Linked DNA regions of Arabidopsis thaliana. The protein of the gene in region 2 interacts with the protein of the main gene of each other region in a pairwise test. Each region holds a gene or a part of one and is shown on either strand. Other genes may lie near its edges.

Evidence for each region.
Region 1: the proteins of ACS5 (region 2) and EOL1 interact in a two-hybrid assay, tested with the Arabidopsis thaliana proteins (one study listed by BioGRID).
Region 3: the proteins of ACS5 (region 2) and EOL2 interact in a two-hybrid assay, tested with the Arabidopsis thaliana proteins (one study listed by BioGRID).
Region 4: the proteins of ACS5 (region 2) and GRF3 come close enough for resonance energy transfer, tested with the Arabidopsis thaliana proteins (one study listed by BioGRID).

The regions. Positions count from the first base shown.
Region 1 is NC_003075.7:1,179,528-1,188,576, forward strand, and holds EOL1 (ETO1-like 1), read right to left. Parts: upstream 5,486-9,049; 5' UTR 4,802-5,485; coding exon 4,686-4,801; intron 4,613-4,685; coding exon 2,885-4,612; intron 2,813-2,884; coding exon 2,521-2,812; intron 2,316-2,520; coding exon 2,006-2,315; intron 1,896-2,005; coding exon 1,675-1,895; 3' UTR 1,396-1,674; downstream 1-1,395. Other genes in the region: AT4G02690 (Bax inhibitor-1 family protein), read left to right, coding at 6,496-6,763, 6,876-6,989, 7,153-7,310, 7,801-8,007. UniProt on the Arabidopsis thaliana protein: Possible regulator of the ethylene pathway, which acts by regulating the stability of 1-aminocyclopropane-1-carboxylate synthase (ACS) enzymes.
Region 2 is NC_003076.8:26,329,140-26,336,234, reverse strand, and holds ACS5 (ACC synthase 5), read left to right. Parts: upstream 1-3,422; 5' UTR 3,423-3,536; coding exon 3,537-3,815; intron 3,816-3,919; coding exon 3,920-4,080; intron 4,081-4,166; coding exon 4,167-5,139; 3' UTR 5,140-5,489; downstream 5,490-7,095. UniProt on the Arabidopsis thaliana protein: 1-aminocyclopropane-1-carboxylate synthase (ACS) enzymes catalyze the conversion of S-adenosyl-L-methionine (SAM) into 1-aminocyclopropane-1-carboxylate (ACC), a direct precursor of ethylene.
Region 3 is NC_003076.8:23,663,012-23,671,220, forward strand, and holds EOL2 (ETO1-like 2), read right to left. Parts: upstream 5,876-8,209; 5' UTR 5,464-5,875; coding exon 3,539-5,463; intron 3,448-3,538; coding exon 3,156-3,447; intron 3,076-3,155; coding exon 2,766-3,075; intron 2,691-2,765; coding exon 2,440-2,690; 3' UTR 2,284-2,439; downstream 1-2,283. Other genes in the region: AT5G58540 (Protein kinase superfamily protein), read left to right, coding at 389-479, 557-1,027, 1,112-1,302, 1,382-1,514, 1,603-2,171; FOLK (Phosphatidate cytidylyltransferase family protein), read left to right, coding at 7,502-7,816. UniProt on the Arabidopsis thaliana protein: Potential regulator of the ethylene pathway, which acts by regulating the stability of 1-aminocyclopropane-1-carboxylate synthase (ACS) enzymes.
Region 4 is NC_003076.8:15,407,294-15,413,823, reverse strand, and holds GRF3 (general regulatory factor 3), read right to left. Parts: upstream 4,141-6,530; 5' UTR 4,013-4,140; exon of another isoform or gene 3,675-4,012; intron 3,575-3,674; 5' UTR 3,548-3,574; coding exon 3,074-3,547; intron 2,996-3,073; coding exon 2,873-2,995; intron 2,786-2,872; coding exon 2,669-2,785; coding exon of another isoform or gene 2,665-2,668; intron 2,593-2,664; coding exon 2,539-2,592; 3' UTR 2,223-2,538; downstream 1-2,222. Other genes in the region: AT5G38490 (B3 domain protein (DUF313)), read left to right, coding at 862-1,956; RAD23D (Rad23 UV excision repair protein family), read right to left, coding at 6,324-6,443. UniProt on the Arabidopsis thaliana protein: Is associated with a DNA binding complex that binds to the G box, a well-characterized cis-acting DNA regulatory element found in plant genes. Involved in the regulation of nutrient metabolism. Reciprocal negative transcription regulation of miR396.

The DNA.
Region 1 (9,049 bases), on a different chromosome or scaffold from region 2:
GCTATAACTTTCTTCTGAATTTGTCTTTAAATATTATTATATTTTACTTGTGTGTTATTATGAATTTGAGTGATGTTACTTTCTCTACCAAGGCTGCTAAAGCTTTATCTTTTTTTTTCCTTATAGTTTCTCTCATTCCCATAATATACCCAAAATTCTTAAAAAGGCACACTGATTTGAATGAAACTTATCATAAGCTATAAAATAAATTAAAACAACGTAAGGAAATAGAAACTCATTGTAAAAAGGGAACATCATACAAAGATTCTAACAAAAAAAAAACAAATTTAGGTTTAAAGCTATTTCGCCCTAAAGACGAATTAAACAACTTTATTGTCTATTTCTCTAATTTAAATTTAAATTCTGATTATACAACATCCTTACATGCCTCCTAACTTAAGTTTGAATCACTCACAAAGATAAAAGAGAGTTGTATTTGTAGGGGAGAAAAATACATACACTCAAAGCAACCAATGCCCTAAAAGCATTTTGGCTTTGAATATCAAAATGGAATATATCACTTTGTTGAATTTTGTTTCGTCTTCATATGATTTACTCTTGTGGATGACTTTGTGGCTTTGTGCTATCTTCCTCTTCCTTTTTTTCCAACCTTTATAAGTTTTTGATTAATATTCTTAATATATCCCTTTGAAAATTGTTCATGTCCAAAAAGAAAATACTTACCCCACCAACAAGAATTTTTCGCACTCTTTCATCCGTTCTTTAACTTTTTATCTGTTGAAATTTTTCTATAGAAAAATATTCCAATGAAGAACATTTTGTTAAGTCGATTTTGTCCTTAGACGTGTCTTGTACCATTTGATTCATTGGGATAGGCGTGTCTACTGTAGTAAAATTCAGTTTATGATGGAATCCCTTTAGGCCAAAACAAAACAAAACGTGTGACCATTATGAGACACGAGCGTAACTAAAACCCATGCAACACCGAATATTCTTCTTTTAAAATTTTCATAAAGGCTTTTTTGAATTGTGAAATATTCTGAAAATATATATGCTATACGAAGGAAATAAACACATGAATATTCGAATTCTTGTAACAAACAAAGGGAAAATTTTATATTTTAAAGTAAAACAGGGAAGAAACTAGATCATTTGAGGACAAAGAAAACTAGTCATCAGTATTATAGTACCCATTAAGCCCAAGTTATTAACACTACAACTCTAGAAGCCCATCTAAGCCCATGTTAATAGGTCTTGTAGTAAAAGCTCTTATATATTATATGTATATGTAATGTATGTCATGGGTTAATGTAACAAGAGTACAAACATTCAACCTTCTATAAAACGTAATCGAAATCATTTGAGTCTTTGGTGACAAACCCAAAGCTTTTTCACATTTTCAAACCTAAAGCTTGAAAATAAGATAGCTCATTGGGGCTTTATTAGGTGCAAGAATAATAAAGGAAAATGCTTTAGGTTTGTCACCAAGAACTCAAACGATCTACTTATTGTTTTAAATCAAGTTTACGTTTTAGGCCCAGAGAAATTTGAAGTTTACGATGGAAGGACAAAATACGAAATCGATATATGGAAAACAGCAACAAAGAATAAAAGAGTTACAAGAGATTACAAGTTTCCAACAATGATTCTTTTAGTATTACAATTTTTCACACTTTACTTTCATATCGAAGCTCTTTTGTGTGTGGTTGCGGTTCAAGGTTCATGGCTATTAACACGGCTATGGAGTTCGAGCATCTCCTGATGGTTGGGGTCGACCGAGAGCGCTGCACGACAGTCCCGCAACGCACTCGTGACATCACCGATATGCTCGTGGAAAGCCGCTCGTAAGTGAAGAAGATGAAGATCTGCTTTAAAGGCGATAGCTCGGGATAACTCTGTGATAGCCTCTCTCTCTTTCCGACTATCCATCAACACTATCAAAACCCACAAAAGAATAACGAATAATCAAGTTTCGGTTAAGCCAATTATTTTTCGGAGATGATGAACAAAAAAAGGAGCATAAGAGTTGCAAGTGAAGAAAAACCTGCGGCGCGATATCGGTAAGGATAAACCCGGAGAGGGTCTAACCGGGTGACCATTTCAAGATCAGATTTGGCGAGTTCACGATCACAATACTCAGATCTTTTCTCGTAGGCGGATGCATTGTTTTGAGCCTTTTCGATTAGTCTGGTCATTTCTTCGTAGGCTGCAGCTTTGTCGTTTCTAAGGAAATGGACACGAGCTAGACCTTGGTGTGCACGCGTGTGTCTTACCTTGAGAGCGTTTATATAGCAATCCGCAGCTAAATCTAGCTTCTCGCAATCGACATAGACACTCCCGAGATTGTTCAGAGCCTAAAAACAAAAACAAATAGCATTTTCATAGACTAAATAAGCACAAAACCAAATCGACTCAAGCCAAAACCAAAGTGGACATTTCACAAAAACCAGGCAGTAACATAATTGGCTAATCCTGACTAAACCAAACCCTATCAACCTGAAGCATAGTTTTTCTTTTCACTGATTAACAAATGGATGTACTGATGGTGAACGACCGTACCTGACCTTTGCGCAACCTATCAGAGGGGCATTTAAGAGCATCTTCAAGAAGTGAAACAACAGTAGAAGAACTCGATGGATCAAGGCTAGATTCTGCTAAGGCATAAGCTTGGAGGAAATAAGCTTCAAATGATCTCTTTATTCCAATGGATTCCTTAGCCTTTTGAAGCCCTTCTTCGCAGTGACCTGTATCATACAAGATCCATCCTTCGTAAACTAGACGCTCGTGGTCACTTGAGGCATGCTCGCGGGCTAACTGTAAACTGCGCATCGCTGCTTCTGGACAATTCAACCTGAACAAAACAAAGGTATGACAATGAGATGCTTAAATAATGGTAAAGAACACCTTTATTTAGAAAAATTACCTTAGGAGAAGCAAAGATTGCCTGAAGTAGAGAACACCTTTGCAAGCATCGGATTCGAGCATCTGATAGATTACAGAAAGAGAACCTATATCATCAACATTAGACCATTTCTCATATAGCTGCATCCAACAATCTGCGGTTGTCCAATTCTCGACATGCTCATACACAAGCGTCTGGAGCTGCCTCCCAGCTACTTTCCCATCGAACATTCTATAATCAGGACACAGCGTAAGAGCAGCCTGAATATCACGAAGAGCCGCTTCATAGTCATCCATACCAAGATAAAGACAAAACCGAATTTCTAAGCATTCTAAAGCAAGTTTAAACCCCAAGATCCGATTGATTTCTTCAAGAGCAGCCTTAGCATTTTGTTTCGACATTCGTGTGACAGCTCTATACATGTAAGGATATGTCAAAGTCGGATCCAATTCGGTTGCCTTCTCGAGATCTTCCAATTTCTTGTCACCCTCACAATAGAAAGACCTTTCCTGATACATCCACCCGAGAGGCGGCGAAACAGAGGAGATTACCGAGCTTAGCTTCTCATAAGCCCAAAGCCGATGCCCTTGGATGTATCCTAGTCTTGCTAAACCAGTAGCGGAATACACATGGCCTAAGTTAAAAGCTGTTTCAAAAGCTTCTTCAGCCTCCCGGTATTCTTTCCTCAATAGCCTCATACAACCTAACCGATGGAACCCCAATACTTGTTGCCGGTCATTTTCTGCAAAGTCAACTAATTTCTCCAAGAAACCGAGTGTTCTGTCAGACCGAGGATCTATACACATCGAGACTTCACTTAAACAAGAATATAAGGAGAATGGAGCTTTTCCTGCCATGGTTGAGACTTGAGATCTATTAACTCGAGTCAAAACCTCAACAACACGCTCATCATTCAAACTATCAGGCATCTCATAAAGAAAAACTTGCAGACACGATGAAGCTAGGATGGGGGAATTCTCTTCAAGTGCAAAGTCCATAAGCTCAATGGCACATTCCATAGAAGAAATCAAAGATGCCAATTCTCTATCGCATGCATCTTTAAGTCGCTCGCAGCAAAACTTGTTTGCGAAAACTAAAACTTCCAAAAGAAGGTTCTTGGAAACTCCGATTAGTACACCAACAACGCTGAAATCTCTAACAACCCGCATAGCTGATGAGGATACATGGTTTTCTGACATATCTATCTCATCAAGAAGCGATTCCGTGAAATTACCATAAAGCATAGCATGAAATGGAGCTGAAAGACTCGCAATTTTCCGCCTTTGGCAAGCTATCTTCTCTTCTCCTATCTTAAACACAACATTTTTAGATACACTGCGGTTCGTCTTCACAGATGCTGCCTCAGGGGAAGAAGCAGTAGTAGCTGGGAAATAGGATGCAATATCTAGTGGCACAAATTCTTCAGAATATTTACCACAAGAGGAAAGCAAATCTGTGATAACTTCTTCTCCTTGTTTCTCATACCTCAACCAAGATCCAAACACAACTTTCTCATGGACAGTAGTAGCCTCTTGCCAAGCTGATTGAAGGCTTCTCCGTCTAAGTTTGGTCTCTCCAAGACCTCTAAACACTTGATACTGCAACAAATACAGAATCGATCTCTCCTGCAAAGGGCAAGTGTCGAGTTCTTCATGAATCTGAGCTAGAACTTCTACATAGTCGAGAGGCTTATAATGCGGCAGTATCTGAGGCTCGGGAACTTTGATAAATGATTCTCTACACAGTGGACTACAAAAAGACCAAATATTATTACTCCATATCCAAAACATCTCAAAGTTCAAGAAAAATAAATGAAACTTACGCAGATGAAGAAGCAGAGGAAGATAGCTTCCCTCTCTCAACTTGAAGCCATGACTGTGGATTCAAGGAATCGAGTTGTGATTCTTTACAAGAATCAGAAGGGTAAAAAGTCCTCATCTGACATAACAGATGAAACAAATCCCAGATCTCCAGGATAGCCAGAGGATAGTCAAAACACTATTTTCTTGTCGGTTACACACTACCCAGACCAGAAACTAAGTGGAGATGGGCTACTTAATGGAATCCTATACAAAAAAATCTGAACTTTGGTATTATGAGATCTTACAACACCTAAAGCTAAAAGCATTTCTCTATGAAACCAACCACTTATGTACAGCTGACGGAACAATTACTAAATACATAAGTGAGAATAACAAAACTCACTCGCAATTGCCATTGAAAAGATAACCCTTTGCGAAATTAAGAGGATAAATCACCAAAATTAGAGCTTTCTCGACCAAACCCTAACCTTCTAGCAGTATAACATAATCTAGTGGCTAAACCCAGAAAAATTAAAGAGAGTCTAACAAATCTAAGATGTCTTAGACATCAAAAAGTAAGAATCTTTGAACCAGCGAGACAAGGAAGAAAGCACCAGTGAAGAGAAAACCCTAAAACAGAGAGAGAGGTGTGCTATGGACAGATTCGGACAAGTTGTCAAGTTTGAGCAAAAGTGAATCGAAGTGAGAGAGAGAGTGGGAAATGTTATACAAATTGACACTTTTCTAATTATCTGAGAGCTCTTTTGTTTCATTGGTAAAAGGGAAAGTTTTTCTTCTTTTCAATTGTTTTTGCTCATATGCTATATCTCAACACAAACAGTAACCACCACTATCGGATTCTTAGGCCACTCTTCAAGAGATTGTGAAAAATTCTATTTTTTGAACTAAATTATTATTTTTTCTATTAATTATAAGTTTTTACATTCTACAATAATGTATACAAAAATGATCAAGCATAACAGCCTTTTGTGTCTCAATTACGATTAAAAATATAAACTATGATTAGTCAAGAATCTACATTATAATTATATTTTCATTTAACAAGTTAAACTATCAACTCAATCATTTAACACCACCAAAACCAAAAAAAAAGTTTATAAAAACTAGCGTTAAAATTTAAAACTGCATCATTTTAAGTAATTTCAGTTTCAATATTATTTATCAACGATGAAAATATATCCCAAATTAATTTCTCTAAAAATTTATTTTTGTTTACTTTTTATCCAAATTTCAAATCAATTTTTACTTTTAATTATTTCAGTTTAAATAATTGATTAAAAATATCTTACATATATTGATTGAAAACCCTCTATATTAAATGCAAGAATGATACTATTGATCAACTAATTTTTTTTAGTTAAGTTCTAATTGGAAAAATGCAAATTAATTATAGATAAAATATTGTACGGTTTAAATAGTAATAAAAATATATATATATATATATATATATAAAAAATTTCGTTACTATTTGAAATGTACTGTGAAGTTTGGTTAAGCAAGTATTGTGTTGAGCCAAAAAAAAGAACACTTTCCCTTTGGACACATCAAATCCTTGTCACCGCTTATGCGACATCTCCGGTTGCCACGCGTCATCTACGGTTTAGCCGAGAGCTTTCATGAACTTTCTTCTTCCTCTTGGCATCACCGCTTCTCCCAGGAAAATCCGAAGAAGCTCAAGCAAAGCACCGCATCAACTTTTCTCTCTCGCTTGTGGTTCTCTCTCTGTAGATCGTGATACAGTAGTAATCGAAAGGATTCGAATTTTCCCGCGCGTTCCTTCACTTTATAAAGACTCTGCTATCGTAAATAATGTATCAGTGGAACTTACCGTACCGGAAAGATGACGTGGAAACAGGCGTTAGCTCAAGAAGGCCTTTACTATACCCAGCGATGCATGAAAATCCCGAGCTCCGGTGGGGATTTATACGCAAGGTCTACTCTATAATCGCCTTTCAGCTTCTAGCCACCGTCGCTGTCGCTGCCACGGTGGTCACCGTCCGTCCAATCGCTCTGTTCTTCGCCACCACCGGACTTGGATTAGCTCTTTACATAGTCATCATCATCACACCTCTCATAGGTACAATCATCACGCACACTTGTTTTACAAATCAAAAGTTTCAATCTTTTTCGAAGTTTGGTAATAATCTCAAAAGCTGAAACTTGGATTTGTGTTTCTCTCCGATGTATAGTGTTGTGTCCGTTGTACTATTACCATCAGAAACATCCGGTGAATTACTTGCTCTTGGGGATTTTCACTTTGGCTCTGGCTTTTGTTGTTGGATTAACATGTGCCTTCACCAATGGTATGACTTGATCAACCACTTTTGGTTACCTGTTAAGGATCCATTAGGCAACAAAGTTCTGTTTTTGCTATTGGGGAACTAGCTCTTAGCAAATTTCATCTCTCAGTTTTTTCTATGATTCTGATTGTGTATATGTTTAAAGCTTATTCTGTGTTGGACACAGGGAAAGTGATTCTCGAGTCAGTGATCTTGACATCGGTAGTGGTGCTTTCGCTCACATTATATACTTTTTGGGCTGCTAGGAAAGGATATGACTTTAATTTCCTTGGACCCTTCTTGTTTGGCGCTCTCACCGTGCTTATTTTCTTCGCCTTAATACAAGTAAAGCTACTTATTCCAATTTCCATTGGAGAGAGTGAGAGTTGTAGTCTTTAGCTTATGAAATGTGGTAGTTTTGGTATCATTCTTTAGGCTAAACAGTTAACAACTTCATTTTATATTAGACATTAGAGAGCACAAGATTTAAGCGTATCGGATATGGTAGCATTTTTACGAGACTAAGAAGTGAGATTTCACATTAGACATTACAGATAAGGGATTTAGCCTATGAAATGTGTTAGTTTTGGCAGCATTGTTTTACACTTAGAAATTAGAAAGGCTTGATTTGTCACTGCTAAAGGCAGTACAGAGAATGAGAGCTTTTAACTTTTTGAATGTGGTGCTCTTTATAGTAATCTTTAGGCTAGAATTTGACACTTGATATCACTATAAGCATTGCATAAAATGAGAAACTTGAAACTTGATTTTAAATGTGGTAGCTTTTTGATTGCATAACCAGGTTTCGTAACTTAATTTGGGGTATGTTGTGCAGATTTTGTTCCCATTAGGGAGGGTATCAGTGATGATCTATGGTTGTTTGGTATCGATAATATTCTGCGGATACATAGTTTACGATACAGACAATCTGATCAAGAGACACACGTATGATGAGTATATTTGGGCAGCGGTTTCACTCTACCTAGACATCATCAACCTCTTCTTGTATCTTCTTACTGTGTTGAGAGCCTTACAGAGATGATGATTATTAGGATGAGGTATTTAGCTTATCGGTCTCTTTAAAAATATGTAAATAAGAAAATAAAACTGTACATTTTTGTGGTTACAGTTCACATGTTCATGTGAGTGATTGTAGAGGGAACACAGGAACTGTGGATCATGTAATAATTTATAACGAAAATGCCAAGGATGTGTCATGTGTGTAATGTCGCGAAAGACACCACGAGAAGTGCAAGTCTTTTGTTTTTTCTCATAAGAAAAAAGGGATAATTGAAGCTTTTTGTTAATAATATTTATTTCAAACTTATGTAGACCATATTACATTTTATGGTTAAAAAAAATAAGAGTTATAAGGGTTTAGGATTTATGGTTTAGTTTTTAGAGTTTAGTTTAGGTGTAGAATTTGGAGTTTCGGATTTTAAATTTTGACAATTTTAGTAATGGAAAGCAGATTATTTTTACAATTTGATATAAAATGAAGAATATTTTGATATTGAAAACAAAAAGAGAAGCAAAACATGGGAAGCCTCGAAGTGTGTGTTGAGGAAAAGGGAAACGAATGTTTGAAATTCTGGAATGCTCCAAATGCAAATGGACAAAACAATAATGGTAACGAGAGTGATCAATCCAAATTGGGGAAGTCTTGTAAGTTGTAACAGCTCATGCTGCTACTTCGTTTTAATCATGTATCTTAATTATTTAGTCTTCGCATAAGTCTAAATTTGGGAAAACAAGTAGGAAAATAAATAACTAGATTTAGAAACTCAAATTCCTTTGATAATTCTTTTTCTTTCTATGTGTGACTGGATTTTGGACTTTGTGGTCGCAATGCAAATGTTATGATACATTACGGTCAAATGTATGTGTGTAACCACTAAGCCAAGGAGGATAATGGGCAAGTGGTCTCTGGCGTGAGGGTTCGACCCATATTCTTTACTATGATGAAAAAAGGCTCACGCCATATTCTCGATCAACATAACAATATCATTGAATTATAACTATTATTGTCAACTGGATTTGTAGAATTTGGGGGCAATGCAAAATATGATGTTACATTACGGTGA
Region 2 (7,095 bases):
GTAACCGTGAAATTCTCCAACCGAAACATAAACTTATTATTTCTTATGCATATAGAAAACCACATTTTACTACTCATCACTCCAATATATCAGTGGTACTCATATATTTATTGTACAATCTCATTCAGACATATCAGCCGGAATGAAAGTTCAACCATCTAATAGGCTAACACACTAGCATTGCTTCAAATTTCTTAAACACGCTAACATTGTAACAACATAATAATAATGACACAAAAATATACATTTGAGGTTTTGAGAGAGTGCTAAAATGGGACCTACGTTTTCATTTCTTGGAACATGAATAGTGGGAATTAAGAAAAACAAAAAAAATCGAAAAAGAGAAAGATCACGATGGTTGTCACAAAATGTTGTTGATGATGTAGGGAATTGGTAGGGTCTTATAACCTATACTTTTCACATGCATTCTTAAACCCTATTTCTACTGCATCTCCATGTGCCTCCCCTCACGTCTCTACCTTCTCTCTCTATCTGTTTTTTTTTTTCAATCAATAACAAAAGAAATATTACATCATTTTCCCTTTCATCATATCTTTAACCAGCTAAAACAAGTTTGAAGCGAATTTTGCATATATACAGTCCCAACTTCGTCAATTATATTGAAGTTCGTTATCTTTTTTTTTTTTTTTTTTTTTTTTTTTTTTTTTTTTTTGTATGTGTATGTGTGTGTGTGTGAAATATCGCGATTAATAGTTTAAGAAAATTCTTCATCAGAATAATAGATTATAATATTTTCAAAGATTTACTTGTTTTTTGATTATTTTGATTTTATTAAAATCATATTGTTGAGACAATGGTATTATGGTCATGAAGAACCTCAAGTGTTTTATGTATCAATTGGCAAATTTCAGCACAAGTGAATTTTTTTCTTGATTATTTTCTACTGTCTATACATATAAAATAGAGAATATAATATAACAACTTTGAGCTATAATTAGAATCTGTTGGAAAAAAATGAAAAAATATAACAAATATATTCTATCTTGATTTTTCAAAGTATAGAATCTAAAAAAAGCTATATGATATTAATTATCCAATTATATGATTGCATTTATGAGTTGATATGATATCTTTTGGTTGTTTCATAAAACAGAATCAAGAATAAGATGATCAATACCGAAATATATGGCTTCATCATCAAATATTATTTCACATGTGATTCTCCAATGTATCATTATTAAGAGTTGTTATACGAGGACCCATTTTTTTCGCAGCAATCAAATCAATTTGAGCTTTTTAATTAAAATCTTCAAAAATAATCTGAGAAAATCACAGCGTCTCATTAATTATTAAAAAAGTACTTCAAAAAAGTGGATATACGATTTTGAAATGATAACGATTTCCTGACGTCAGAAAAAATCCTATAACAAACATTAATGTTTTTTTTTGGTTAGTTAAGAGACAATAATATGTTACATCTACCAAAGAATATTCCAGTTAAGTTAGTTAATAGTTGGAGTCAAACTTAAACGAACAACGTCGCCTACAAATCTGGGGGTATAAGTTATAACCAACGGCCACCAACATGGGTTTTGATATCGTCCACCTGATTTTTATGTTAATATAACTCAATTTGATTGATTAAATATTATGCTCTTATACTAATCATTCTAGGTCCAAAACTGAATCACTCATTGCACATCATTTTTATGATTTTTATTTTGAAAATCTCATGTTTCAAGAAATATTTGTGCATTCTACTAGTAGCTTATTTTAAATAAAGTTTCGAGTTTATATAATAAACAATATGTTTATTTCTTTGATTTGTATACATTTTAAAAAAAAAAACAGGATGAAGATATATACAACTAAAGCTCAATTCAACTAGTAGGAAAATTGTATTCTACAAAAAATTTGTGTTTATGTTTTTATTATGATAACCATCCAAACTCATTATTTCACCCATGATCAAAGTAACTATATCAATATATCTGCAACAATATCTGACTCAACATTTATTTTTACATAAACTGCGGACCAACACAATTATGCTAAACTATCATCATTTATTCTATTGGTATTGGAGATCAGTCTACGTCAGTGAATACCGCATAATTCACATGAAACTAACTCCAAAACCCTTTAACCAAAAAAAAAAAAAAACTAATTACAACTCCGGTTAACCTGTCGATAATTACAAGACTGAAAACATCCTAGTCAGTAAAAAACATATTTGTATGTATCCGATCCCACCAAATAAATAAGTTGTTGTCAATGATAGAGGAAGAGAAAACGAAAAAAAATTGCGGACCAAGACATTTGGGACTACTAGAGTTTAGGGAGCATAAATGGTCCTATTTGACTTACCCTCTACCGTATAAATAAATGTATTTTAGCCGTATAAATGTATACATACGTAGATGCATAGGTATACAGGATTACTTTAGACGATTTGATGTCGGTATGACATTACATTTGACTCCCCTAGCTCCACTTGTCTCTGTTCATTTTTCTTGTATGTCATTTCCTTGTTTTCCAATTTTACGTTTACCACCCTATTTTATTTTGTTAATATTTTCTAAGTCAACGTGTTGACACTTAATTACAGAATCTGATAACTAAAGTTACATAAAATGCTCACAGTTTTTTTCAGCAAAATACTCACATTATACGACATATAAAATTTTAGCAGTCTATAAATAGTAATTATTTGGCATTAGTATTGGACAAGAAGTAGAATATAAATTAATGTTGGTTCTTTTTTCTATCCAACTTCACACAGCCAATTTTGTAGCTGACATCGTGAATGGACGACTAAACTAATCATAAGCATAGTGATTCAGTTTATACAACAACAACAAAAAGTTAATTACATTTGAGGTTTCTTTTTAAATTGCTATGTTTGGTCCCTAAATGATGGTCATAATAAGGACGGTCCGGCGGTGACGGAAACGCGTAAAGACTAATCATTTTAGTACTATTAATTTGTAGAATTATTATTAAATATGCTTGAATCCTAGAAAACGATCAAATAAATTTTGGAAAGAAGCTCAAAATGTGTTATTTAATTTTGTCCCTATGTAGAGCTGGTTTTTTTATTTTTATTTAAACATAATCCTAAGATTTATTGCTGTATGTGTGAATGCAATAATAAATAGAAACTCAATAATAGATCATTCTTATTTTCAAAAAGAAACAAGAACTACTGCAATGTTTTAATTGTTTATTTTGTATTAAATAATATAGCTTGTTAATTATTGGAGATCGCATTAAATAATAAAAGAAGTTGTCTCACATGTCTTGGAGAATATTTACTAAAAACTATGGTAATGTCTGGACGGTCAAAAAAGTCTCTCTAGTTTCTGATTCTGTTGTCACATTTTATTTTTGAAATTAAATGTCGTTAGATTATTATTATCTATATATATATATATCCCAACAGACCCATTGCTTCTCCAACCACATCTCACTCTTCACCAACTTAAACCCTAATTCAAGATCTCTTCTTTTCGTTCTCTCCTTCACCCACATTAGTCTTCTCTACGACCAAAATCTCTTGACTTTAAAAACAGAGAATGAAACAGCTTTCGACAAAAGTGACAAGCAATGGTCATGGACAAGACTCATCCTACTTCTTGGGATGGGAAGAGTACGAGAAGAATCCTTATGATGAGATCAAGAACCCTAATGGGATGATCCAGATGGGTCTAGCCGAAAACCAGCTATGTTTCGATCTAATCGAGTCATGGTTAACTAAGAACCCAGACGCGGCAAGTCTCAAGAGGAACGGTCAATCCATTTTCAGAGAGCTTGCTCTATTTCAAGACTATCATGGCATGCCTGAATTCAAAAAAGTAAGCTTCTTTCATTTTTCTCAAATTCAATAAAGAGAGTAACCTGACGTGTATCACAAGTAATGAATCCATTTCTCATGAACATTTTCTGTCATTTTTTACAGGCTATGGCTGAGTTTATGGAAGAGATAAGAGGAAACCGTGTCACGTTCGATCCAAAAAAGATTGTTTTAGCGGCTGGTTCGACATCTGCGAATGAGACTCTCATGTTTTGCCTTGCAGAGCCTGGCGATGCTTTCCTTTTGCCTACTCCTTACTATCCTGGGTAAATTACACTTCTCCTCTTTACTTGGATTCCAAGTAAACCCAATAGAAATATATGCTTACGTCTAGGCTTTTTTATGATTACAGATTTGATAGAGATCTTAAATGGAGAACCGGAGCAGAGATAGTACCCATTCACTGCTCAAGCTCTAATGGCTTCCAAATCACGGAATCAGCTCTGCAACAAGCTTACCAACAAGCCCAGAAACTTGATCTCAAAGTCAAAGGAGTTCTTGTCACGAATCCATCTAACCCACTTGGCACTGCGTTGACCAGACGTGAACTTAACCTTCTCGTTGACTTCATCACTTCCAAGAACATTCATCTCATTAGCGACGAGATCTATTCAGGCACTATGTTCGGGTTTGAACAGTTCATAAGCGTAATGGATGTCTTGAAAGACAAGAAACTCGAAGACACGGAGGTTTCAAAACGAGTCCACGTCGTTTATAGCCTTTCTAAAGATCTGGGACTTCCTGGTTTCCGTGTGGGAGCGATCTACTCCAACGACGAAATGATCGTTTCAGCAGCTACAAAAATGTCAAGTTTTGGTCTTGTTTCTTCTCAGACACAATACCTTCTCTCTGCATTGCTCTCCGACAAGAAGTTCACTAGCCAATACCTCGAAGAGAACCAGAAACGACTCAAGTCCAGACAGAGACGCCTCGTGTCTGGTCTTGAGTCTGCAGGGATTACTTGCCTGAGAAGCAACGCGGGTTTGTTCTGTTGGGTCGACATGAGACACCTTTTGGACACAAACACATTTGAAGCAGAGCTTGACCTCTGGAAAAAGATTGTTTACAACGTGAAACTAAACATATCACCCGGTTCTTCATGTCACTGCACCGAACCGGGTTGGTTTAGGGTTTGTTTCGCTAATATGAGCGAGGACACACTCGATTTGGCCTTGAAGAGGCTCAAAACTTTCGTAGAATCCACAGACTGTGGACGAATGATATCAAGAAGCAGCCATGAAAGGCTCAAGAGTTTGAGGAAGAAGACAGTCTCTAACTGGGTTTTCCGGGTTTCATGGACCGATCGTGTACCTGATGAACGATGAAATTATTCATCTCCCTAAGTTTGAGACGACGAACAAAAGAAAACTTCACGGTTTTTTCTTCTTCTTTATTTCCTTCATTTTTTATATTTTGGGAAAGTATTTTTAATTTTCCAAGATATCTATAATCATATCATTATATATGTAATATTTTTTTTAATGTTTGGGTGAGTCTTTAATTTATGCAATTTTTCGGGTGTAAAATTGTTACTATGTGTTATTATATGTTTTTAATGCACTCAATCCGAATGTGGATTTGCAGTGGCTATATATATAAATAAATATATATCCCGTTGTAATTTTAGTGAAACGTTTGTGTGTATTGTACCCATATATAAAAATGTAATTCACTCTTTTTAGTTTATATATATTTTGTTTTATAAATATGGGTTTCTTTAATTTTATGCTCTATCATTTGGTATAGTTTTTGAGTTTGTTGTGAGAATTCTCCTCTGACTATAAGGCTATAAAGATCGTGTTAACGTTGTTGGTTAAGGACGTTAGTTGAGGCATATCAAAAGGAGGCTTAATTTAATGTCAATTAACTAATTAATTAATCATTATATGGTAATATGGCGGGAATTGTCGAATTGGTCAACTGAGAAAGCAAAAGGGGAAAGTCAAAGGTTTTCCACTTAGGTGAATCAAGAGAGAAGGTATGATCTACTTGTCGAAAATATTCGATGAAGCCTAAATAATTTAGTTAAAAATCGACTAAAACCCATTAACAATTTCGGGGTAAAGGTAGCTTCTAGCGTTCTACGGCAGTAAAGTTTTGAGCTTTGAATAGGTACGTTGCATTGCGTAAGAATGTTCACGTCACATATTTGAACTAAAATTACAAGTTTACAACGAAATCCACATTTTTTTTTTGTATAATCAAAACTTACTCTATCAGGATTAACGTAATTATAAGAAAAAAATGAGCAACTTATGAGAAACCGAAATCTGTATATCGAGAGCCATGGTTGATTGATATATATGTTAAGGAGGATATGTCCCAATGATTACAATGATTATAGATTTATACATTACAATTCCAATCATCGAAATCAATAATTTTCAAAAATTTGAGGATGAAAAGGCTCCAATCATTTAAAGAGAAAAGTCTTTATAACCATTTTTTTTTTCTTGTGAAATTATTTCCCGAGGGATAAAGTAGAGGATAAAGTGTCATATCATCATAGGCTAATCATTATAGTATAAGATATAAGATACCGGTCAAATGTTATTATGCTAAGCCTATCACATAAAAAAAAAACTAAAAAAGTGCCATGAGCTTTGTTGGTACTACGAAGAGTAGACTACGAAATATATAATACAACTTTAGTAACCGATTTTGTTTTAATTTTAGCATGATACGCGGCTATACCGGCCGTAACGGCAAATGATCCTTACATGTGAACAGCATTAATGTGGTGGTTGAGTCCCCAAAAATCTGTCTCAATTAATTAACAATTCGATTATAAAAACTTAACAGAGATATGTAGTAGCAGTACGTACTTTGAAAAATAAGAGATTGAGAATTTGGTTGGATTTGAGAATCCGTGAATGAGTAATACTGATTAAGTAATATTCTACTTAAAAGTCTTTATTGCATATGACCGACCATAACTATACAAACTGACATTATGAAGTCGTTGTACCAGAAAATTTTCGTCATTGTCATGGTCGTAGTCTACTTGCTACTATAATAAGCGACATTGGAATGATATTTGATATTATCATTCCATAAATTGTTACGTCAACTGGTGCCACATACTAATCATATAGTTGGTAATGTAAGAATACGTTTTCTTGTAAAAATGTTTAAAATATTGTTTTACCCAGTTCTAAAAGTAGATATAGATTATGGAAGTTTATCTTTATCAACGTATTGTAAAGTAGATATAGATTATGGAAGTTATGTACATATGCATGTCAAGTTTGAACCAAAATTTCAGTCACGTGGGCTTCACG
Region 3 (8,209 bases), 2.7 Mb from region 2:
ACTAGGTATTTAATTTGCATAATCTTGTATGTTTCAAAGCCGTTATCGTGTCACATATTTGGATTAGTCTACAAAATCAAGAACATATTTATTAGGTAAAAATTTGGTAAAAGAAACTTATCATGATTTAAATTCTATGACTTTGTTAAGCAACTTGCACAAGTGTGTATAATAAACTTCAAACTGTTGTTTCTTTTAGAAAAGAAAAATCTTAAGAGAGTAATGAAAATTGGTCGTTGGGTTTACGATAATTAAACAAAGGTTGAAAGAGCATCAACCGTTGATTAGTCTTCTTAATCCTCAACGACGAATTCAACTGCTCCTCCAATATTCTCTTCCTTCTTCCTTCTTTCGGAAACAACCACAGAAGCAAAGAAATCAATCTCCTATGAGTTCCAAGAGACGGCGGAGATTCAATCTCCGAACAGTGTTCTCCATCATCTTCCTCACCTTTCTTCCTCTGAATCTTAACTCTCAAGGTAGTTGACTAATCTCTATGTTTCTCTATGCAACCTTTTGTGTGTCTCTTTAAATGATGACAATTCATTTCTTGAAGAGATTGTAGAGGTCTTTGATTCTTCTCAAGATCACTTCTTGATCCAATCCCGAGTTTATGCGAACCATCGCAGCCTTATCGATACACCTCTTCCTGGCAAAGACCCTGCCCTTGATGCCTCTCCGCCATCTCCTGAATCCGCTATCCTCAAAGATCCATTGCTGCCTCCGCCACCACCAGAAGGCAACGAAACCCCGAGCCCTCCTCGAAGTGGTGTGCCAACACAAACACCAGAGACCCCACCTGCTATCACTCCCCTGCCTGTACCACTGGCTCCAGCTCCGTCTCCGTCTCCTCCTGTGTCTCCAGGAACTACAAAGAAGTCTCCCAAAGTTTATATGATCGTTGGCATAGTCGGTGGGGTATTCACAGTCTCGGTAGCATTAATCATCATCTTTCTTATCCTCACTCGAAAGATTCCAATCAAGCCTTGGACCAACAGTGGCCAGCTTCGCGATGATCTTATCACAGGCAAACACACTCTTCAGTCTTCATCTCTCTTTTTTCTCTCTTCATATGGAATTTCTCTAAATTTATAGTTTTGTATTGGAGCAGATGTTCCGAGGCTGCAGCTATCTGAGCTACAAGCAGCCTGCGAAGATTTCAGTAATGTCATAGGATCTTTCTCAGACGGCACCATTTATAAAGGAACTTTGTCCACTGGTGCTGAAATCGCTGTGGTGTCTATTGTGGCCGGTTCTCGTTCAGACTGGTCCACCACCATGGACACACAGTTGCTACAAAAGGTATCAGAACCTCGTTTGCACTTGTCTTGAACTGAGATTTGCATTGCCATTAATGAACAACTGCGCTCTGTTTCTGCAGATGCATAATTTATCCAAAGTGGATCACAAGAACTTTTTGAATGTGATCGGTTATTGCCTTGAGGAAGAGCCCTTCAAGCGAATGCTGGTTTTTGAATACGCTCCCAATGGATCACTCTCCGAGCATCTGCACTGTGAGGATTTCATCTCCTCAAGAAACCTTGTTTGATTTAACTCGTACACTCTTTGAACTGTTTGAACTGATCTCTCATCTCATGGCAGCTCAATACGTGGAGCACTTGGACTGGCCTACCAGACTCAGAATCGTCATGGGAATAGCTTACTGTCTAGAGCACATGCACAATCTTAACCCACCCATCTTGCTCTCCAATTTGGACTCCTCTTCTGTGTACTTGACTGAAGACAACGCCGCCAAAGTCTCTGACTTTTCTGTCATCAACTCCATATTTCCCTCTAAGGAGGGTTCCTCGAGCAAGAACCTTCTAGAACCCTCGTTACTTGATCCCCATACCAACGTCTTTAACTTTGGTGCCGTTTTATTCGAAATCATCAGTGGAAAATTACCAGACCCGGATTCTATGCTTCTCGAACCCAAGCCCACAAGAGATATTGTGGACCCGACACTGAAAACATTTCAGGAAAATGTTGTTGAGAGACTGTTGGAGGTGGTTAGGCAGTGTTTGAATCCATACTCAGATCAGCGGCCGACAATGAGAGAGGTTGTGGTGAAATTGAGAGAGATAACTGGAATAGAAGCTGACGCAGCAATGCCGAGGCTGTCTCCACGGTGGTGGACAGAGCTGGAGATCATATCCACAGAAGGAAACTAAAGAGAAAGGAGCCGTCCTTTTAGGTGTCCCCTGTATATATACACAAATGACACTGTGAAGTGATGATCATCTTTTTTTGTTCCTCTGCATTAAAAGACTCTTTACTGTATATACTAAAAAGTTGGTTTTGCATAGAAACCATTGGTAAGATTAATAAATGGCAGCTTCTTTACAGCATCCATTTATAGAAGAAGAAAATAAAAGTTAAATCTATTTATAAGATCCCAATGAAATATACAAATGGGATAATATGGTTGATACCTTCAAATTAATCTAAGCCAAAAATGGTGTTGTCAATGGAAGAAGCTTGATCCTTGGATCTGCTGTAGAGATGGAGCGTCTCGGTGTGGTTAGGGTCCAAACAGAGAGCAGCTTCACAGTCTTGAGTGGCCAATGACAGATTCCCAGTGGCCTCGTGAAATGCTGCTCTGAGATGCAGCGTTTGCAGTTCTGGTCTGAAAGCTATCGCCTTTGACAGCTCTTCCACTGCTTCTGTCTCTCTCTGATCATCCATCAGCACTGCCACACATACGATCACTTCTTTAACTACTAGAATTTATAAGATGTTAATACAGAACAGGAAGAGTTAGTTACCGGCAGCTCGGTATCTGTAGGGATAAGTTCGCAGAGGGTCGAGTGTTGTGGCCATGTCAAGATCTTCTTTGGCTTTTTCACGTTCACAGTACTCAGACCGTTTCTCGTAGGCTGCTGCTTTGCTACACGACTTCTCGATCAGCTTTGTCATCTCCTCACAAGCTTCTTTACGTTGGTTCTTCAAAAAATAAACTCGCGCCAGCCCTTGGCGTGCACGAGTGTGTTTGATCTCTATAGCGTTCTTATATGCGGTTTCAGCTTGATCTAGCATCCCCAAATTGATGTAGATGCTCCCAAGGTTGTTCAGAGCCTGCAGAAACATAACAAAACGACTAATCAGATTACAGTGTGAATAAGAGAAAGAGAAAGGCGAGACATCAAAATGCCAACCTGTCCTTTGCGTAGCCCATCTGAAGGACACTTGAGGGCTTCCTCTAGAACCTGAACCACACAAGAGATCTCGTCTGCATCGAGATTCTTGTCAGCTAGAGCATATGCTTTGAGGAAAAATGCTTCAAAGGATCGCTGAATAGAGATTGCCTCCTCAGCTTTAGTAAGAGTTTCTTCCACATAACCCATGTCGTATAAAAGCCACCCTTCGTAGACCAACCTTTCTGCCTCAGAAGTAGCCAAGTTCCATGCCATTCGCAAACACCTCATCGCGGCTCCTTGACAATTCAATCTGTTACAGATCACAAAAAAATGTAGCTTCCGTCAACTCCTGAAGAATTCACCAATCAGGTTGCCAGAGAAACAAAAGATATTCTTCTTACCTTAAGAGAAGAAGAGATTGTCTAAACCTCAGAAAGTTTTTGCTGGGATCATTCTGAAGCATCTGATGAACAACAGCCAACGACGCAACATCATCCACAGCTGACCATCTATCGAAAAGCCTCACCCAACAATCCGCTTCACTCTCTACTTCAATACATTGCGCGGTCAGAGCCTCCACCAAATCATCTCTCATTTTCCCACCAAACACAACATAATTGGGCTCTAAAGACAGCACTGCTCTAAGATCTCTCAAACAACTCTCCCGGTCACCAGTGGCTAAATACAGCCAAGCCCTCAGCTCGAGACATTCTGGACTAAGCTTGAACTGAATTAATCTATCAATCTCTTGGAAGGCTTCTTTAATCTGCTTCTGTTCGAATTTCATTACGGCTCTGTACTTGTACGGAAAAGACAGTGTCGGGTCAAGTTCAGTGGCGGTTGCTAAATCTTTTAGTTTCTCAACTCCAACATTGTACAGAGACCTCTCCTGGTACATCCATCCATGTGGCTTGTGATTAGAGATGAGAAAGTTCATGAGCCTGTACGCCGAATACCTCTTCCCTTGTTTATATTCAGTTCTTGATACCCCAGCCAAAGAGTAGACATGCCCTAAGCTTGAAGCTAATCTGAAATGAAACTGGGCTGCTTTGTAATCCTTTCTCTCAAACAGAACACATCCCATTTGATGCAAAGACAAAGCCTTTTGCCAGTTTGTACGAGCAAACTCTCGAGTTCTCTCTAGCAATATCAGCATAGTGTCCGTCGTGAGTTTCTCTTCCATGCCTACTTGGCTGAGGAAGTAGTACAACAGGAACACACACTCTGAACCCAGAAAAGCTAATTGCTCTTTTGCTTCGGAACTGCAGAAGAATCTCATCACTTTGGGATTGTGAAGAGACTGAGGAAGCTCTCTCAGAAACACCTGCAAGCAAGCAGATAAGAGAAGCGTTGTGCGTTCCTCCAACGCGTACTCTACAAAGGTTAAAGCTTTATCAAGGTCAGTGACAGAAGCAGCCAAGCGAGCCTCACATTCAGACTTCAGATCATCGCAACAGAATTTGCTGGCTAATTGAAGCAGCTCAAATACAGTTTCCACACGAAACAGATCAACTCTTTTGATTCTACTATATATGTTGAGTGCCAACATTGCCTCAATAGAGATGCCATTTTCCGAGAAATCAATCTCAGAAGTTGTTGATTCCACGAAAGAACCATACAACATGGCCTCAAAAGGACGCGAAAGCGCTGCGATTCTCGACCTAACACACTTAGCCTTCTCTGAACCTACGCAGAAGGAAATATCGCTAACCTCATCTAGACCCGAAAACTCATCAGCCTTAGAGATTTTAACGTCATCACTACCAAATTCATCCTCACATACCGTAGAACATTCACAACCCTCGTCGTCTACATTCAAATCACAACCATGAGTCAAACTAGTCTTCGGACATTCAGAAGCAAGCCCATTACAATCCATAGATTCAACTCCCACAAGTTCATGTTCTCTCCTAAAAAATCTCAACCAAGCAGAGAAAACAACCTTACAAGGGACATCAATGGCGTGCCTCCTAGCGTTGAGAAGGCACCTACGCAAGAGCTTGGCATCACCGAGACTGCGGAGAACAGCGTACTGCTCAAGGTAGAGCATCGATGCCTCGGATTCCGAACTGGACTCGATTCTCCGATATAGATTTGATAATGACTCCACCAAATCGATAGGTTTGAGGTAAGAGTCCAAGGGAGGCTCGAGGAGGTCTGTGGTGGGAAAGCCATGAGGGAGAAGTGAACGAGATTTGGATTTGGGATGCCCAAGGAACTTCATCATTCGAGGGCTACCATTGCTGCTTGTAGAGGGAGAGTCTTGTGTAGTAAAGGCGTGGACTTGAGTGCTTTTAAATCTCTCAAAGAGTTTGAGATTGCGCATTTTGCTATATCACAGAAATCTGAGAAAAGGGTTTGATTTTGAAGTAAAGAGAGAGTGAGGGAGACGGAGAGAGCAAGAGAGAGAGAGAGAGAGAGAGAGAGAGAGAGAGAGAGAGAGAGAGAGAGTTGAAAACACAAGCTCTGTCTCCGGTGACAACACACAGTGCAGAGACAAAAAGGAGAGAGAGAGAGAGAGGAAGAAGAAGACGATGAAGTGTGATTGAGAATATAAATTATTTTTATAAAAAGGTCAATAATTTGGGGAGAAAAAAGAGTAATGGCGTCGATTTTTGCAAACCCAAAAAACATTTATATGGAAAAAAAATGGTCGAATCTCATATCTGTTTTTCTTTCTTTTATGCATTTTTTTGTGGAACAGTTTACGAACTTCAACAGTTGGTGGTTCTTATTGGGTGCGATACGAACCAGACCACTTTCCTTTCTCTTTCCTTTTTGTGTAAAGACCACTTTCCTTTTTTAAAACAATATTTTGTTTCTGTTTTTTTGGTGAGGAAATATTTTGTTTCTTTGTTAAATTGTTATTTTTTTCCATATTTGAAGATATTGGTATGGCTTTTAATTTGTGAAAATTTGGGTTTATTACAGAGTTATATGATGATTAAATATAGTTTAGAGAATTATAGATGGTTGGTTCGTTTCGGGTATAATTAAAATAAGCCTCTCTGACTATCCAACGTCATTGATTCATGTGATGCCAAGATAGGTAGGTTAACTAGTTATGTGGTTTCTTATCGGTTATCTCCTATCTAAACAATTGAGCTTAACATTAAACTTTGAAGATATTAACTTATCTCTCTAATGAACGAAAAAAATTCAGTTTTATTGGTTGATTGGTTATGATTTCAATGACTAACAAAGAAATGGTCTTTAATTTATGTACAGCATGAATTTACTCAATTTATTACATACAACATGATTTCAAAAAATTGCTTAAAATTTTGCAAAACATTTCTTTACTGTGATCACACTAATCATTTGTTAATCTGGTGTCTACTTTTTTACTCGCTAACGTGAGCGTGTATATTTATATTTTCTGAGATCTTCATAGTTTTAGGTTTTTAGCTTGTAGTTAGTTTTTTTTGTTCTCGATATTGGACCAACAACTATCAGGAAACGCATAATTTATTATATATATAAAAAACTCTCATAAAACGTACTGTATTAAAACAATAACAAATAAAAAGTGGAGAGAACTATATCCAGAACCAATTCTGATGTTCTTTTGCCCGCACACCTGGAAAACACATGCAAGTGTACTCTTTAAAGATAAACATATATACCATTTGCGAAATAATTGAGGATTTTTTTTCTTTTGCCAACAGATAAATAATATAAGATTGTTTCAGAAAAAAAATAAAGATGGATAATTGAGGATTAGGTTGGCATTATTTGATGCAAAAAATACTAAAGAAAATCTCACATTGAAATCAATTAAAATAATTTTCTTATGGTATATACAAGTTGATGCAAAATTGATAAAAGATTAAACAAGGCAAGAGACGTGTGGTCATGTGTCTCGGCAACCCATGTGAGGGAATCTGAATCACTTTTTTTTTTTTTTTTTTTATGTTTCTCGAATCTGAGTAGCACAATAATTGAATTGTGTTTCGTAACTAAATTAGGGATTTATTAATCATGAAAAATTATTTGATGAAATCAAATTGTGGTCCGTCTAGTTGACTTATACCAGCCCAAATTATTTAGCGAATATAAAGCCCAAACTAGGCCCACAATAACAAATTATGCGTTTCCTCAAACGAACACCACCATGTCATGAACCATTCTAGCCGAATCCAAATAGAACGAAACTAAAATTGCTTTAATCCATATGTGACCAGATAAAGTAAAACACTCCTTTTGGGGAAATAAATATCCACTTTTCACCATCTTTTTGGTAAACAATAAAACAAACCAAATTTTGTGTGCTTGAGCAACAACAACTACCAACCAGTTACTGTCAAAAAAAATAAATGAAAACGTAATCGAAGAAAAGGTCGTGTTTTCTAGTGTTGCAGAAAATGGCAACTACTAGTACTACTACAAAGCTCTCCGTTCTCTGCTGCTCTTTCATTTCATCTCCTCTCGTTGACTCTCCTCCTTCTCTCGCCTTCTTCTCTCCGATTCCACGATTCCTCACTGTCCGAATCGCGACTAGCTTTAGATCGAGCTCTAGGTTTCCGGCCACCAAAATCCGCAAGTCTTCACTCGCCGCCGTGATGTTTCCGGAAAATTCGGTTTTATCAGATGTCTGCGCGTTTGGAGTCACTAGCATCGTTGCGTTCTCGTGCCTCGGTTTCTGGGGAGAGATTGGCAAACGTGGCATCTTCGACCAGGTTTTCGATCATTCAATTCACTTAATTAAATTATACACGCGTCGATTTGTTGAATAACGTTTTTGGAATGTTGCTCGATTCTGCAATTTCTGGTTAAAGCAACTTTGGATTCAGAGTAATGGTAGTAGTAAGCTTTATCGAGTAATGGATGGCATTAATGGCGAGGATAATAAATCTTATTAGTTCAAGAAATTATAGAATGTGAATGGATACCTATTTTGGGGTGGAAGAACACTGCGATAAACAATGGGAAAGTAACCCCATATCTGGTAAATTAGTGGGAAAATTGCTCAGAACCCAATTTGGGGATGAAATTTTTTTGAAATTCGTGCGGTATAATCACAATCTCATCGTAACTTGAAGATTCAACCATATTTATGATATATATGAATT
Region 4 (6,530 bases), about 11 Mb from region 2:
ATTGTTCTTTGTTGTTCATTCGTAGTTTACCAAATAAGAAATTACCAGAAATTTCATTTTGGAAGATTTGCAGAAATTTTGTAATTACCGAGAGATGTGGGGTGCATTAACAAATAACGAAATAACTGAGGCAATTTCGTTATTATTCGAGGGAAAAAATCGTAATTATCTATAGTTTTAGGTCCAATTCGTAATTACTAAAGGATGTGGGGCAATTTCGTAGTTACCTCAAATTGAGAAAACTATTTGAATTTTCTCCCCATATTTGGTTTTGCATCAACTATTTTTATGCAATTTTGTTGAAATGATTATGTACGTACATCCAATAAAATTCAAAAAACATAAAAATTATTCAAGGAATTGTTTTTTTTTTTTTTTTGATGATAAATGGATACTCGAAACTATTTTCGATTCAATCGACAACAATATTGGTTTTGTTTTTCTAAAGATCTGAATTTTTTTGAGACTCCACTGTTTTCTGCATTTTATTTAATTTATATCAAAGTCGGCAAGTGCCCAAAAAATATAATAATACATCAAATACAAAAAAGTGAAGCAAAGCTATTGAAATTTGAAAGGAAAGGAAACTTCCTAAAAATTCACTATCTCTCACACTTGTGAAAAAGGAAACACTTGATCACAACGGCTATAATTAGTTACTAATGACAGTAATTAAACAACTAAACTCAATGGAGAAATAGGAAAACAAAGAAACCTGAAACCCTATTGTAAAGTATATATAAGGCAAGAGAAGGTACTTCTTTTCTAATCGTCGATCAGTTTCTCGTCTCTCTATATACAAGTTTCTTGTTCCTCACGTCGTCGCTCTCAGAAACTTTCCAGTCTTTCGATTCAATCACGATGAGTAGTATTATGTATCACGATAATCATCTCACGGATTCGGGGAAGAATATGTCGTCGGGTTTAAGTTTACTGGCGTATGTGACGGTTATGGTTGCGGAGGAAGAAGAACAACGTAGTCGTCTTCTTGCAGAGAAACGAGAAGAATCCAAGTGCAAGATGAGTTTCTTCTATCTTTTCCCGAGGAAAATCAAATCGTCTTTGGCGAAGAGAAGATACACACAACAAAACCCTAATGGGGCTTCTACTTGTTCGTCATCGCTTCCCGATCTTAACCTAATCCCTACTGATTTTGAGACAGACAACCTACAAAACCCTTGTTTTGATGAACCTATGGTGTGTGATGAAGAACAACGTTTAAAGAAAGGTAAATCCAAGATTGTCTACGATGAAGATTATGATGACGAGAGTGAAAAGAAACTCTTTGATAATCTTAATGGAGCTTCTACTTCTTCTTCATCGCTCCTGAACCTTCCTTGTCTTGAACCTTCGACAGAGACAAAAGACGTACCAAACCCTAATTACCAATCTTCGTCTCCGTCTTCATGCCTAACAGGGAAGACAAACCGCAAGAGGCGTGCCGTGGAGCAGAGGAAGAGTGGTAAAGTCAAGAAAGTTAAGGTTTCTCCTTTGCCAAGGTTGTGTACAGAGATGCCTGAGTGGATTTTCCAAGTGATGAGATACATGAACGCTGATGCTGAAACCCCGAGGCTGATATTTGAGAGGACTCTGTTTAAGAGTGATGTCAACTCAAACCTTAGTCGTCTCTTAATGCCTTTCCAGAAGCTAATCAGAAACGATTTCCTGACTCCTGCGGAGTGTAGAGCTATGCAGAAAGACGAAGACAATGATGAAGAAGACGACGAGAATATTGGTGTGGGAACGGTTCTTGTGAACCAAAGATTTCAAAAGTGGGGTTTGCGTTTCAAGATATGGGCGATGGAGAAGGACTCTGGACATGGAACATTGAATTACACTTTGAATTGGGGTTGGAATGATGTCGTCAAAAGTAGCAGCTTAAAAGTCGGCGACAAGATCAGCCTTTGGACTTTCAGGTGCCGTGGAGTCCTCTGCTTTGCACTTGACACAGAGTAGCTCTTCACTTGTTCACTAGCTTATTCAGTGATTTTGAGTTTCAGTAACTTATTGGAAGTGTTAATTAACAAGATTAGGATTTTGGTGTGGTTCTCTCCTTTATTAGTAGTAACTTGTCTGTCTCCTATGTTATCTGAGATCTTTTACCATTGTTTGAAATGAAATATTTTGTTATAAATATGGTTTCTTGTTTTCTCTACTTTAGTTACCTTTTATTTCTTGTAATATATTATATCAAAGTATAATGTCATGGAAGTGATCCATTTGCAGCAAGTGTTTTCGTACATTAATTAATCAATTTGAGAAAGTTATCACACTTTTTTAGTTGATCAAATCAATAACCAAAAAAATAGAAAATAAAGACAACTACCATATCAGAAATAACCAAGTTTTGATTTCATTAGAAAGGAGAATAGGAAATATTGAGGAAGCTAAAGGAGGAATGATAAATCGCAAGTAGTTTCAAAACAAACAAACAACAATAAAACTGTGTCTCTTATAAGAATCCTGAGCTATCCCTCACTCAGATTATCACATGAAAGTTTTCTACCATTATAAAATGACTCTTCCTCTTCTTCGGGTTTACTCGGCACCATCGGGCTTTGATGCCTCCTTAATCTCATCTCCTGCTTCGTCCTATTCACCAAAAAAGAAACCATCATGTCAACAACATAACTTAGTGATCAACGTATATTGTGTTGTTAATACTTACAGTCATATCTGAAGTCCAGAGAGTGAGATTGTCTCTAAGAAGCTGCATAATCAGTGTACTGTCCTTGTATGATTCCTCACCCAATGTATCTAACTCAGCGATTGCATCATCAAACGCCTGCACAAACCCAAAATAGCTGTTTCATTCACTGAGATAATAATAACACACGAAGCAAAAAGTGAAAATCAGGTGTACTACACAAACCTGCTTTGCGAGGCTGCAAGCACGATCAGGCGAGTTGAGGATTTCATAGTAAAACACAGAGAAGTTGAGTGCAAGACCAAGCCTTATCGGGTGAGTAGGAGCTAACTCAGCAGTGGCAATGTCCTGCATTATCACAACAACAAAATCAATCATACCCACAAAAGAAAACAACATTCAAAAACGTTGTAAAGAATGACTTACGGAAGCAGACTTGTAAGCAACCAAAGTGCTTTCAGCAGCTTCTTTCCTTTCAGCACCAGCCTTAAACTCAGCAAGATACCTATGATAATCACCCTTCATCTTAAGATAAAACACTTTAGATTCAGCTGGTGAAGCAGAAGGAATAAGATGAGCTTCAAGAACATTCAAAATCCCATCACAGATTTTGCTAAGCTCGGATTCAATCTTTCCTCTGTAATCCTTGATAATAGCAACATGATCTTCGTTCCCTTTGCTCTCTTCTTTCTGCTCAATCGAAGAAATGATTCTCCACGAAGCTCTTCTCGCTCCAATCACGTTCTTGTAAGCAACAGAGAGAAGATTCCTCTCTTCAACTGAAAGTTCCTCAACATCAACAGTTTTCGCAACTTTCTCCATGAATTCAACCATTTCTTCGTAACGTTCAGCTTGTTCGGCTAATTTCGCCATGTAAACATTCTCTTCCCTTGTCGACATCTTCGATTCAACAATCTAGAGCAAATCCTACAAAATCAGAACCCAAAACATACACACATTGATACATTTCTTCACCGATTAAGAACATAGAGAAAATAGGCATAAACAAATGAGTCGAAACAATAACCTAATCATCTAGATTAAGAACACAATGAATCTTCTTCATAGGTGACGAATCTAGAGAAAATTCTTCAACGCGAATCCGAAGTAAGATCTACATACTCGTCTATGTTCTTCACGGATAACGAATCTAGAGCAAAATCGTTCAAAAGCAGAAACAAAACCGAAACCTAAATTTTAACATCCTACACACAAATCGGATTTAGATATCAAACACACTGAATCAGTGATAAGAACAGAGAATCGATGAGATCGAGATCTCCAGAAACATACAATCAAAGATCAGATCTACACGTAGAAGAAGAAACTACGAAACGAACGATGATTAGAGAGAGAGAGATTTACCTTTCTTTTTTTTCGATTGAAGAGAAGATCTGATTCGAATTTTGCAAGTGGTTTGAAAAAATGGAATAAGAAGAGACTGATGAAGATACAATGAGAAATGGAATGATAAATAAATAAAAACTGTTTTCGAGGCGTAGAGTTAAGAGATCCAATGGAAGGTTGACAAGTGTTGGATGCTGAAGATATGACTGATGCATTGAATCTGACACGTGTGTAGCCATGCTAGTGTTGAGATCTGTTATTTGAAATCTGATAAATGGGCCACTGGGCCCAACGGGTATTACAGTATTACAACTTGAGATAACTATATGATGTACAGGACGGTATTATGGGCCTTTAGATTTAAGTTAAATCTATAATTGATCTTAAACAGACTTTTTACATTGTGTATATTTAGAGCGGTGTATTCAATCTAATAATTTATGTAAAATTTATAAATTTTATGTTATTTAATTATGGATTTTAAATTTTTAAATGAAATTGAGTGTTATTAAATTAAAAATTTAAAAATCAACCTTTTTACTGTTACTGAAAATAGTTAGTGGATTTGATTCTTATTAATTTTGAAGGATTTGAAAGGATTTGAAAAGACTTCTTTAGTTAAAAATACAGAAATCTAAATCTCATAGTTTTAGATAGAATTTGAAAAGACTTTACAGTAAATCACATCAACTTACCTAAAATCATCAAAATTATATAAAAACTCACTTATATCTTACCAAAAAATATGTTCTTTAATAATTCAGTACCTATATTTGTCCTAGGAAAGCAAATTCTAGATTAGAAAAATAAATTGAATGATGTATATATCCAATTTAAACTCATACTTTAGCAAAAAAAACATCTCATGTAGCACATTAGCTAAATTTTCTTTAAAAATCAGCATTTTCAGGTTCAAATTCCCGTAGCGGAAAATCTTTTTTTTTTAAATTTAATATATATTTATTTTATATCCCGCTAAGTTTCTTTTTAAATTTTTTTTGGTTTTAAAATAAATAAATTGATCTATATATCCAATTTAAATTCATACCTTAGCAAAAACATATGCACTAGCACATTAGCTAAAATGTTTTTTTGAAAATAAGCATGTCCAGATTCAAATTCCGGCAGATGATTTTTTTTAAAAACAATCTAATATATATTTTCATTTTAACAGAAAATCTGTTGGATTTTTTTTTGATAATCAAAATTTTTGAAAAATCTTTTGGTTCTAAAAATAAATAAATTGTTGAAATTATTTAATTTAATGAAGGCTCCTATCACAACACAAACTGTCATACCTCTTGAAATCCAAGATTAGCAGAGTGGATACGGCATTGTTAAAGCACTGAACGCTATGGAGGCCTCGTCCTTATTTACACAAAACAGTTAGCGAAAAATTCCACTAAGTATTGAAAAGAATTTACCTGAAGTACAACCACACTAGAAGAAAAACTGAGAAGTCTCCTCACCACAAAACTTGTAGATCGAACGAGCTTCCGTGCCACTTTGATCATCAAATGTAGGGTTATCGAATGAGTTTTCTGACCATGGGATGTCCACGTCCAAATAATAATGGTTGGGTTTTGGTGAAGCCCAAAATTAAAGTGTTTAAAATGGATTACAAACCATATAAGCTCGCTAGTAAATGGGCAAAATTATTTAGACATAATTTGTGCAGTAATAATTAAAAGCTAGGGTTTAATTATTTAGGGTAAAATTTTAAGATTTCTCATTTCTCTCTCGATTTGAGACAATTTCAGAGACGATTATGACAGATCTCAAAGGCTCACTGGTTCCACCATTATAAGTTCTTCATGAGCAACTTATATGTCTTTATGTTTGTGTTGATGTGTTAATTGATGATGGGTTTTTGTTGATATATTAATTGATGGGTTTGTGTTAATTCAAATGTGCAATAATTGATATTGCATAGCTTGAGGCTATGAGAAAACAATGTAAGCGCCAATAATTGGATCTGAATAGCGGTTTCGTTTTAGGCCAGATCTGTTAAACCAGATTCGACATACCATTCCTAACTCGAGATGAGTCATATAGAACCAAAATATCCACTTTTAATCTTAGCTAATATTGGTGCATCTGAGACCTAAAGAGAGGAAGGATTCAAAGGCTAATAATATGATAAAAGAGGAGCATCTTCAAACCAGATAAACTATGATAGTTTTAATAGTAACATAAACACATCAACTCCCATGAACATAAACATGAAACTGTCAAATGGCATTGGAGAAGAGATTATCATATTAAAAAGAAGAAGAAAAAGAAACAGAAAGATGGTCTGAGTTTAGAGGGAGGAATGGATTTGCTCTGTTTATTGATCTTCAAACTCATGCATGTGATCTAGAAGGTAATTAGCTGCAAGTTCTTCATTCTTGTTACACGCAAAGAACACTTCCAAGACCATCGCACGATCAAACCCCATCCCTTCAAGCTAAACCAAAACAAACAACAGCAAAATCAAATTTCAATACAAGCCATATATTTTGAGGAACCAGAGCATCTAGTAAAGGTACAAATG